Linked DNA regions of Rattus norvegicus. Each later gene encodes a partner of the first gene's protein in a complex. Links are inferred from orthologs where the notes say so. Each region holds a gene or a part of one and is shown in the gene's direction. Other genes may lie near its edges. The genes, in order: Pfn2 and Vasp.

The links.
Region 2: the proteins of Pfn2 (region 1) and Vasp are in contact, whole or in part, in a crystal structure (PDB 2V8C), measured with the Mus musculus proteins. The link is inferred for Rattus norvegicus from reciprocal best matches to the Homo sapiens genes PFN2 and VASP. Residues at the interface, in NP_062283.1 of Mus musculus: Gly3, Trp4, Ser6, Tyr7, Asn10, Cys13, Tyr30, Trp32, Met131, Tyr134, Ser138, Phe140; in NP_033525.2 of Mus musculus: Gly165, Pro166, Pro167, Pro168, Pro169, Pro170, Gly171, Pro172, Pro173, Pro174, Pro175, Pro176.

What each region holds. Positions count from the first base shown.
Region 1 is NC_086020.1:144,220,038-144,224,562, reverse strand, and holds the start of Pfn2 (profilin-2), read left to right. Parts: upstream 1-1,626; 5' UTR 1,627-1,756; coding exon 1,757-1,888; intron 1,889-3,844; coding exon 3,845-4,037; intron 4,038-4,525. UniProt on the Homo sapiens protein: Binds to actin and affects the structure of the cytoskeleton. At high concentrations, profilin prevents the polymerization of actin, whereas it enhances it at low concentrations. By binding to PIP2, it inhibits the formation of IP3 and DG.
Region 2 is NC_086019.1:88,042,729-88,046,532, reverse strand, and holds part of Vasp (vasodilator-stimulated phosphoprotein), read left to right. Parts: intron 1-408; coding exon 409-583; intron 584-658; coding exon 659-824; intron 825-3,031; coding exon 3,032-3,116; intron 3,117-3,804. UniProt on the Homo sapiens protein: Ena/VASP proteins are actin-associated proteins involved in a range of processes dependent on cytoskeleton remodeling and cell polarity such as axon guidance, lamellipodial and filopodial dynamics, platelet activation and cell migration.

The sequences.
Region 1 (4,525 bases):
AGTGTGGTACTGTGGGTGGGCTTTGAGGTTTCCAAAGTCCAATTCAAAACCAGTGATGCTCTCTTCCTGCTACTTTGGGATCCAGACATAGAACTCTCAGCTATTTCTCCATATCATGCCAGACTGCATACTTCCAGGCATGATGAGAATGGACTAAACCTCTGGAACTGTAAGCCAGGCCCCAATTAAATGCTTTCTTTTATAAGAGTTGCTGTGGTCACAGTGTCTCTTCATAGCGATCAGAACTCTAAGACATTATTTTTTTTAAAGCCCAATAAATAAATAATAAATAAAAGTTCAGTGATGCTATTATAAAATTGTCAGTGTGCTCCACAACTTTAAACTTGATGATAGTTTGCAATCTACTGGAGCTTTCTTTCCCTTAATAAGCAGGTCGGGTTTGTCACCTCAAACTGGTCATCGTTGGGGAACATCTGATGCTGAGTCTAGACCCAGCACATAAAGTTAATAAAGATGTAGGAGAATGTTCGGAGACTCTTAAACCATTTCCCACCCTGTCATATACAAGTCTTCCTCGGATGTAGATTCTGAATTATTTTCACCATTTAGTACAGTGGGTCTCAACCTGTGGGCCTCAAACCCTTTGGGGGCACATATCAGATATTTACATTATGATTCATAACTAGCAAATTTACAGTTATGAAATAGCAACAAAATAATTTATGGTTGGGGGGTTAGCACAACATAGGTAACTGTGTTAAGGGGTCACGCTCAGCATTAGGAAGTTTGAGAACCACTGGTCTAGTTCAATGAATCTTTTCTAGCTCGACTATTCTTTGTATTTCGTGGATGTATTTAACGCACAGTAACTTTTCCAGTTACCAAGTACGCATAGGGTCTGGTTTTTTTGTTTTGCTTTGCTTTGCTTTTTTTAGTTAGAATTTCTGGACCGTTGAGCCCCATGTGTGATTAGCAGCACTGCGTTCAGGGCAAAAGCTCCACTGAACCTGGAGTTCCTCGTACTCAAAGGAGGCAACAAAGAGCTGCGCTGCTCCGTTGCCACTGCTCTGATTTCAGGAGCGTGCGAGGCGCAGCTGGCCAAGGTCTTTCAAGAGACACCTCCCCAAGTGTGGGCAACCCGCACTGGCCGCTCCCACTACAAAGAGTAAACCCTCGTCTGCATCCCGTCACCAGGGCAACCCTGCCACCCGACACCGGTGCTGTCAATAAATACCGCGTCCAGGGCTGGCACTTGAGGAGTGAGCACCGCGGCCGCCGTGCACCCAGAGCTCTGGCACCCTACGGCGCCCACTCAAGCTGCCTCGCCTCATAGCCTGCGGTGAAGCCTCCGCCGCCGCGCCCCAGCCCTGCTCCCGCTCGCCTGCCGCACGTGTGGGCCGTGATTGTCCCCGGCGGTATCCCTCCGCGCCCCCGCCTCAGCTCTCCCGCCCTCCCCGGGACCCTCGCCGGCTGCGCTGCGGAAGGATCGCACGCACGCGCGTACACGTCCCGCTGGCCGCGGAGAGCCGAGGGAGCTGCGGTGTGAGTCGGCCGTCGCCAGCCCCGCTGCAAGCGTCGCTCAGCCGCTGGCCCCTGAGCCCCGCGGCCGCGGCCGCCCGGCGCTCCCCGCTGCGGGTCCTGTCCCCGCCCGCCGCAGTTCCCCGGAGAGGGGCGGTCGGTGCCTGCGCAGAGCCGCCTCCTCCCCGCCCCCGCCCCGCCTCCACCGCCGCCGCCGCCGCCGCTGCTGCTGCGCCTCTGCTCCTGCCGTCCCCGCTGCAGTGCGAAGGGCTCGAAGATGGCCGGTTGGCAGAGCTACGTGGATAACCTGATGTGCGATGGCTGCTGCCAGGAGGCCGCCATTGTCGGCTACTGCGACGCCAAATACGTCTGGGCAGCCACGGCCGGGGGCGTCTTCCAGAGCATCACGGTGAGGCCCGGGGGCGCCGAGCCGGCAGGTGTGCGGCGGGCCTGAGGAAGGGGACGCCCGCCCGCGAGGAAGGGGATGAGGCCGGGGCTGAAGGATAGGGTACCGCCGGCTGAGGAAGGGCATGCAGCCGGGGGGGCCCCCGTGCCAGCCGCTGAGCCTGGGGATGCTGCCCGAGGCCGCGCGGGGGCGGGGCGGCCGGACTCTTCGCCCCGGCGGCGCCCCGGCTTGCGGCTGCCAGGGTGGAGGAGGGGACGTCACCCCGGGAGGCCCCTCAGCGTTCGGGGAGCCCGGCGGGCTGCAGTGCAGGTCCCCGGGTGTGGGCGGGAGGTCCTAGGCAGCAGGCTGGCCCTGGCTCGGCAGTGTGCGCGGGATGTGGGTGGCGGCGGTGGCCGGGTCCCGGGAATTAATGGAGTGACTTTGCGTAGGCTTGCGGGTGTCCAGGCCTCCTAGGCTGGAGAGAAAGGTACGCGGACCACGTAGGTGGAATCGTGAATCTACTTCAGCTGTGGCTCTATAGTTTTTTTTTTCCTCCAAGATGGCGAACTGCCATTGATTTCTCTTCTCCACCTATAGAGATTCATCGATATACTGTTATCCCCAGTTACGCAACATAGCTCTAAAAAGGGGATGGTTTAAGGGTGATTTAAAAAAAAAATCTGGGGAGTCGCTGGGGGGGGGTGACACTTCTCAAGTCACTCCCTCTTTAGTGATGGTAGTAAAAGAACTAATACCGATATCTGCTTCACGTTGTCTCATCTTCATGTGACTTGATGGCATTTGACTCGGTTGCCACACGTTTGGAGTATATTCGTCAATCAGCCTCCAGCACTGCTTATTGTTATGCTCGTTTCTATGCAATGCTCTTCTTTAAAATTTTGGCACCAGTATCAAGTACAAGACCATTCCCTTAATTTCTTAGTTCCACACTCCCACTCCCTTCCCATCACCTAGGAAAAATCAAGTCCCATATCACAGGTGCTCAGCATTTTACTACTTAACATGGTTTAATATATCAGTGTGGATTCAGTCCATGATAGGAGTGCTTTAAGATCTCCTGTCCCCATGTGAGAGATCACAATTCCTACAGCGAATTGACATTTGGTGATTTAACTTTTTTTTTCTGCAGTCTTGCCTTTGTGTGTGAGTTCCCGCTGTCTGGCTTAAGAAGATTGCGGGAGTATGCTTGGAAATGGCTGGGGCCTGCTATGACTCTGCAGTTCTGATGGGGGCGACGCCTTCCTTCTTATTCATGGAATGTTAGAATGAACGTATTCTCTTTTCTATTCTGCCGGCTAACTCACTTTCCTTACCAATGCCCCTCCATTTTCTCTCTGATTTTACTATTGGTTACTGCAGTGCTGTAGACAGACTCCACACTGCATTTGTCCAGAAGGAAAAGCTGATTATTGAATGGAAGGGCAAGGCAAGTTGGAGAGAAAAAAGTGGCTAGAAAAATAGGAGGGAAAAACGAACTTGGAAATGCCCCACAGTGATGGAGGTGGTGTTTGAGGCTCACACTGCCAGGGATATTTCAATCTGCTCGAAACAGAGAAGTGAGCAGGTTTATCTGGGTAGACTTTCACTCAACTTTAACTTTGATGCAACATGACTAATGTGGCTGAATGTGACAGACAAGCTTTTGTAAGAGCTTATAGCTGAATCTTTACAATTACATAAGCACCTTCAAGTAGCACCTGACTTGATATAGTTTATAAATAACTCAATTTCAGTTTGTAGCCGGTGTCAACTGCCAACTGTTTAGGGAGACTCTTTGTACCGTTGCTATACTCTGGCTTTTAGTTAGCAGACCTCACTGCAAAAGCAAACTAATGTGTAAATCATGTAACCGTGTAATGATAAAAACAAGAACAATCAAGATATTTACATCAGCACACAGTTTGTTGTATCAAATTCTGATTAACTGTAATTTTTTTCTTCTTTGTTTTGGGTGGCCAGCCAGCAGAAATAGATGTGATTATAGGAAAAGACCGGGAAGGTTTCTTTACCAATGGTTTGACTCTTGGAGGAAAGAAGTGCTCTGTGATCAGAGATAGCCTATACGTTGACTCGGACTGCACAATGGACATCCGGACAAAGAGTCAAGGTGGGGAGCCAACATACAACGTTGCTGTTGGCAGAGCTGGGAGAGGTAAGCAAGCTGGTTTTTTGTGCCTGAAAGTTGCATGCCACGTTAGAACTTGGGTTTCTTTAATGGTTTAAGTAAAGATTCGTTCCTAGAGACTCTTAAGGGGGTTTGTGAGCTGCTCAGCACTGAAGGCTGGCACTGCTACCATCTCGTCTGTTTCAGAGTGGTGCGTACGCGCCTCACTCCTCCCCCTGACTGCTGTAAACTGCCACAGCTTTAGTAATCTTAACAATGGAAAGTTGCCTCTTAAGCCGTCATGTTAGGATGCTGGGGTATATGTGGTTGTTAAACTGTTCTGGTCACTTAGTTATTTTTGTGTCTAATTAGTCTTGTAGAGCTCTCCTTTAATGTTTCCTTAGATTTGAAATCCGTTCCCTGCTCATCATAAAAAGGAAACAATCACATTGTTTTATTTTTCTGCCAGGAACATTTCGGAAGAAGAGAGAAATAATCTAGAGTTTTAGAGTACATGTCCCATTTATTAAAATACT
Region 2 (3,804 bases), on another chromosome or scaffold:
TGCCTTTTCCATTTTTGACTAAGGCTGTAGAGGCTGAGCCCAGGACCTGAGCAAGCTGCCTAGCCCCCAGCTCAAGTCTTATGGACCCTACTTTATCTCTTTCTGCCTCTTCCTGTGTGTGGCCTATCTCTTCCCTACAGTGCACTCAGCTGTCAATTTATCTTCTTTTATAGTACTGTGGGCTCAACTAGGGGCCGGAGCGAGCATGCTGGGGGCAAGCACTCTACCACGCCCCCAGCCCCTCCCTGGGGGATTCTAGGCAGGGGCTCTAACCACTGAGCAACACCCCCCCAGGCATGCATGTACAACCACATCCCCGCACATTCATGTACAGGCTGCAGTTTGTTTTCTGCATGTACTGTATGGATCTAAGAAGAATGTGACTGGTCCCTCTGCTTTCTCCCCTAGCAACGAGACGGTCATTTGTTCCAGCCGGGCTACTGTGATGCTTTACGATGACAGCAACAAACGATGGCTTCCTGCTGGCACCGGTCCCCAGGCCTTTAGCCGCGTCCAGATCTACCACAACCCCACTGCTAACTCTTTCCGAGTTGTTGGCCGCAAGCTGCAGCCTGACCAGCAGGTGCAGGCTCCCTCTGTCCCTCTGCCTCCCTGCCTCCCTGCCACTGAGCCCCCACCAACCTGTGTGCTCTTGTAGGTGGTTATCAACTGTGCCATCATTCGAGGTGTCAAGTACAATCAGGCCACTCCCATATTCCACCAGTGGCGTGATGCCCGCCAGGTCTGGGGCCTCAACTTCGGCAGCAAGGAGGACGCTGCGCAGTTTGCGATCGGCATGGCCAATGCCCTGGAGGCCTTGGAAGGTTAGATGGGCAGGCGGGATGGAGCTGGGGCTCACTTTATGATAAAGGGACAGGAACAGGGATTGTAACAAGTCCCAGGCGGGCTTGGAGGACGAAGCAAGACTCTGTTACAAATAAGATCGGGACTGGGGATGTAGGTCTGTAGGTAGAGAGCTCAGCTAGCCTGTGTGTGGCTCTGCATTCAGTCCCCAGCACTGCATGAACTTGGTGCCTGTTGTCCCAGCGCTCAGCAGGTAGAGGAGGGAGGATAATGAGATTAAGGCTATCCTCAGCTACACGGGAAGTGTGAGACAGCCTGAGCTACATAAAGCTCTATCTCAAAAGTGTGTGTGTGTGTGTGTGTGTGCGTGTGTGCGCGCGCGCGTGTGAGTATGTGTATGTATGTGTATGTGTTGGAGGACAGGAGAGATGGTTCAGTGCTTAAGAGCATTTACTGCTCTTCCAGAGGACCTGGGTTTGACTCCCAGCACCCCCAGGTGGCTCAGAGTGCCAAGGGATCTGACATCTGGCCTTTGTGGGCACTTGGCACATATGTGGTTCACAGAAATTCATGTATAGGCAAAACACCCATACATATAAAAATGAAAAACAAAACACATAGTAGTCATTCATGCTTTTAGTCCCAGCACTCAGGAGGCAGAGGCAGGTGGATCTCTTGATCTGGTCTACACAGTGAGTTTCAGGACAGCCAGGGCTACACAGAGAAACCCTGTCTCAAACAACCAAACGGACTGGGGTTTGGGGTGAGCAGGAGAGCCCCCTTAGCAGCGTTCTGCAGGCTGAAGCTGCTACCCTGCCCTTCAGGGTCTAAGTCTACCTACCTAGAAATCAACTAACCCATGGAGGAAGACTAATGGGAGCTGTCAGCGCTTGGTGAGGACCCCACTCAGAGATGATAGCAGGTTTCCCTTGACCACTTGCCACACCAAGACATCTGTCTGTCCAGCCTCCATTGTGTTGCCTGTGTTGGTCATGGTGCATACGTGTAATGTGAGCCTTTGAGAGAGAAGGTGAGGCGTGAGAGGATGGAGAGTTCTGGGCCATTCTGGGCCCCACAGCCATATTTGCTGTAAAGCAAGGTTCTTAGGTGGCTTAGGACAGCTTCTCAGTGCTGCAGGGCTGCCTGCTGTGTGTCAGCCTGGTGCCATCGCAGTCCAGAATAAAGTCTCTACGTTGTCTTTAAATTTCCCTTCCCTTCCCTTCCTTCCTTCCTCTTTCCTTTTATTCCTTTCTCCTTCTTCCTCCCATTCTTTCTTTTTCCTTTCTCTCTCTGTCTCTCTCTCTGTCTCTGTGTGTCTCCCTCCCTCCCTCCCCCCGCCCCCCTCTCATCAGGATTTCTCTGGGTAGCCCTGCCTGTCCTGAAACTTACTGTAGACTGGGCTGGCCTCAGATTCAGAGAGAGATCCGCCTGCCTCTGCCTTCTGAGTGCTGGGATCAAGGGCGTGCGCCCTGTGCCCAGATACATGGTATTTCTGTTTCTGGAAACATTCAGCCCATGTGGTGATCTGGGTCAAGTACAGGCTGGAGTGCAGGGAACAAGACTTCCTTTATTTATTTATTTTTATTCTTTCAAGTTTCCTAATGATGCCAAGATCCTGTCTTTTTTTTTTTTTTTTTTTTTTTTTTTTTTTTTTTTTTTGATGCTGGTGATTTAATGGGGGTGGCTTCGGACAGGTTCTCCAGGTGCTTTACCACTGAGCCACGTCCCCAGCCCCCTCGGACAGCACTTTCAAAGCCGTGCCCTAGGTGACTGCTCTTTCTTTCTCTCTCTCTCTCTCTCTCTCTTTCTTTCTTTCGTGTGTGTGTGTGTGTGTGTGTGTGTGTGTGTGTGTGTAAATGTGCTTTTTTTAAAAATTTTTTTATTAGATAGACTGCTCTGCTTTCTGTAGACGGAAAACACCCAACGGCTGAGGTGTTGGCTTCACCGCCTTATTAGTATTGGTGGAAGAGCTTACCCACTCTGTCTGTGGAGAAGCCATTGGTAGTGGAGGCCTGTGGTTAGTCCCTACGAGCTGGAAATGTGATTGATTGTTCCTGCAGATTTCTAACCTGCTTAGCAACTACTGGATCTCGGTGTCCAGGGAGGCCACTCCTTGCGAGGGCTGTCAGGGCCTCTGGTTCACTGGGATGGCATCCGGCTGAGGGGAGGGGACTGAGGGAAGATCGAGCTCCTGTTGTCTTACTGTGGTTTTCTCTTCACCTTCCAGGAGGTGGGCCTCCCCCTGCCCCAGCACCCCCTGCCTGGTCTACCCAGAATGGCCCCTCCCCAGAGGAGCTGGAACAACAGAAAAGGTGGGGACCCTCCCTCCTCCTGGGCACCCCATACCTCCCAGAGTTCAGAACCTGCCAGTTTTCACTTTCTAGAAAGGTGAGAGGGCCATGAGTCTAGAGGTAAACAGCATTCAGACACCAGTGGCCAAGCTCCCGGAGATGAAGAAACGTACTGCAAAACTAGGTGTGGTGGCGCTCAACCTGTCATCTCGGGACATGGGAGCCTGAGGCAGGAGGGTTGCCAAGAGTTAAGGCCAGCCTGGGCTATGTAGTGAATTTCAGCGGCCTTAGAAATCAGTAGGGGACTGACATGATGCTGCACACCTTTCCCGCCATTCAGAAGGTAGAGGCAGGTGGGTCTGCAAGTTTGAACCCAGCCTGGTCTGCAAAGTTCCAGGCTACCCTAGGCTACACAGTGAGACCTTGTCTAAATAGGGAAGAAAAGAAAAAGAAAATCTAACCCCAAAGAATCTGATGAGGGAATGAACCATTCTGGCACAATCCCTCCCCCCCATGCCCCATCCTCACTCCACCCTAGGGTTCCACAGCTCTCTGAACCCATGGCCACTTTGGAATCATCCGTTTGCATCGTTGAAAAGAGTGCGCCCAGGCCCCTGAGAGGAGCCAGAGGCTTCTGGTCCTGTGGTGTCGTGGTTGTCCCCTCCCGTGGTCCCCGCCCCCCTTCCCCCTCTGCTTGGTTTGGGGACTG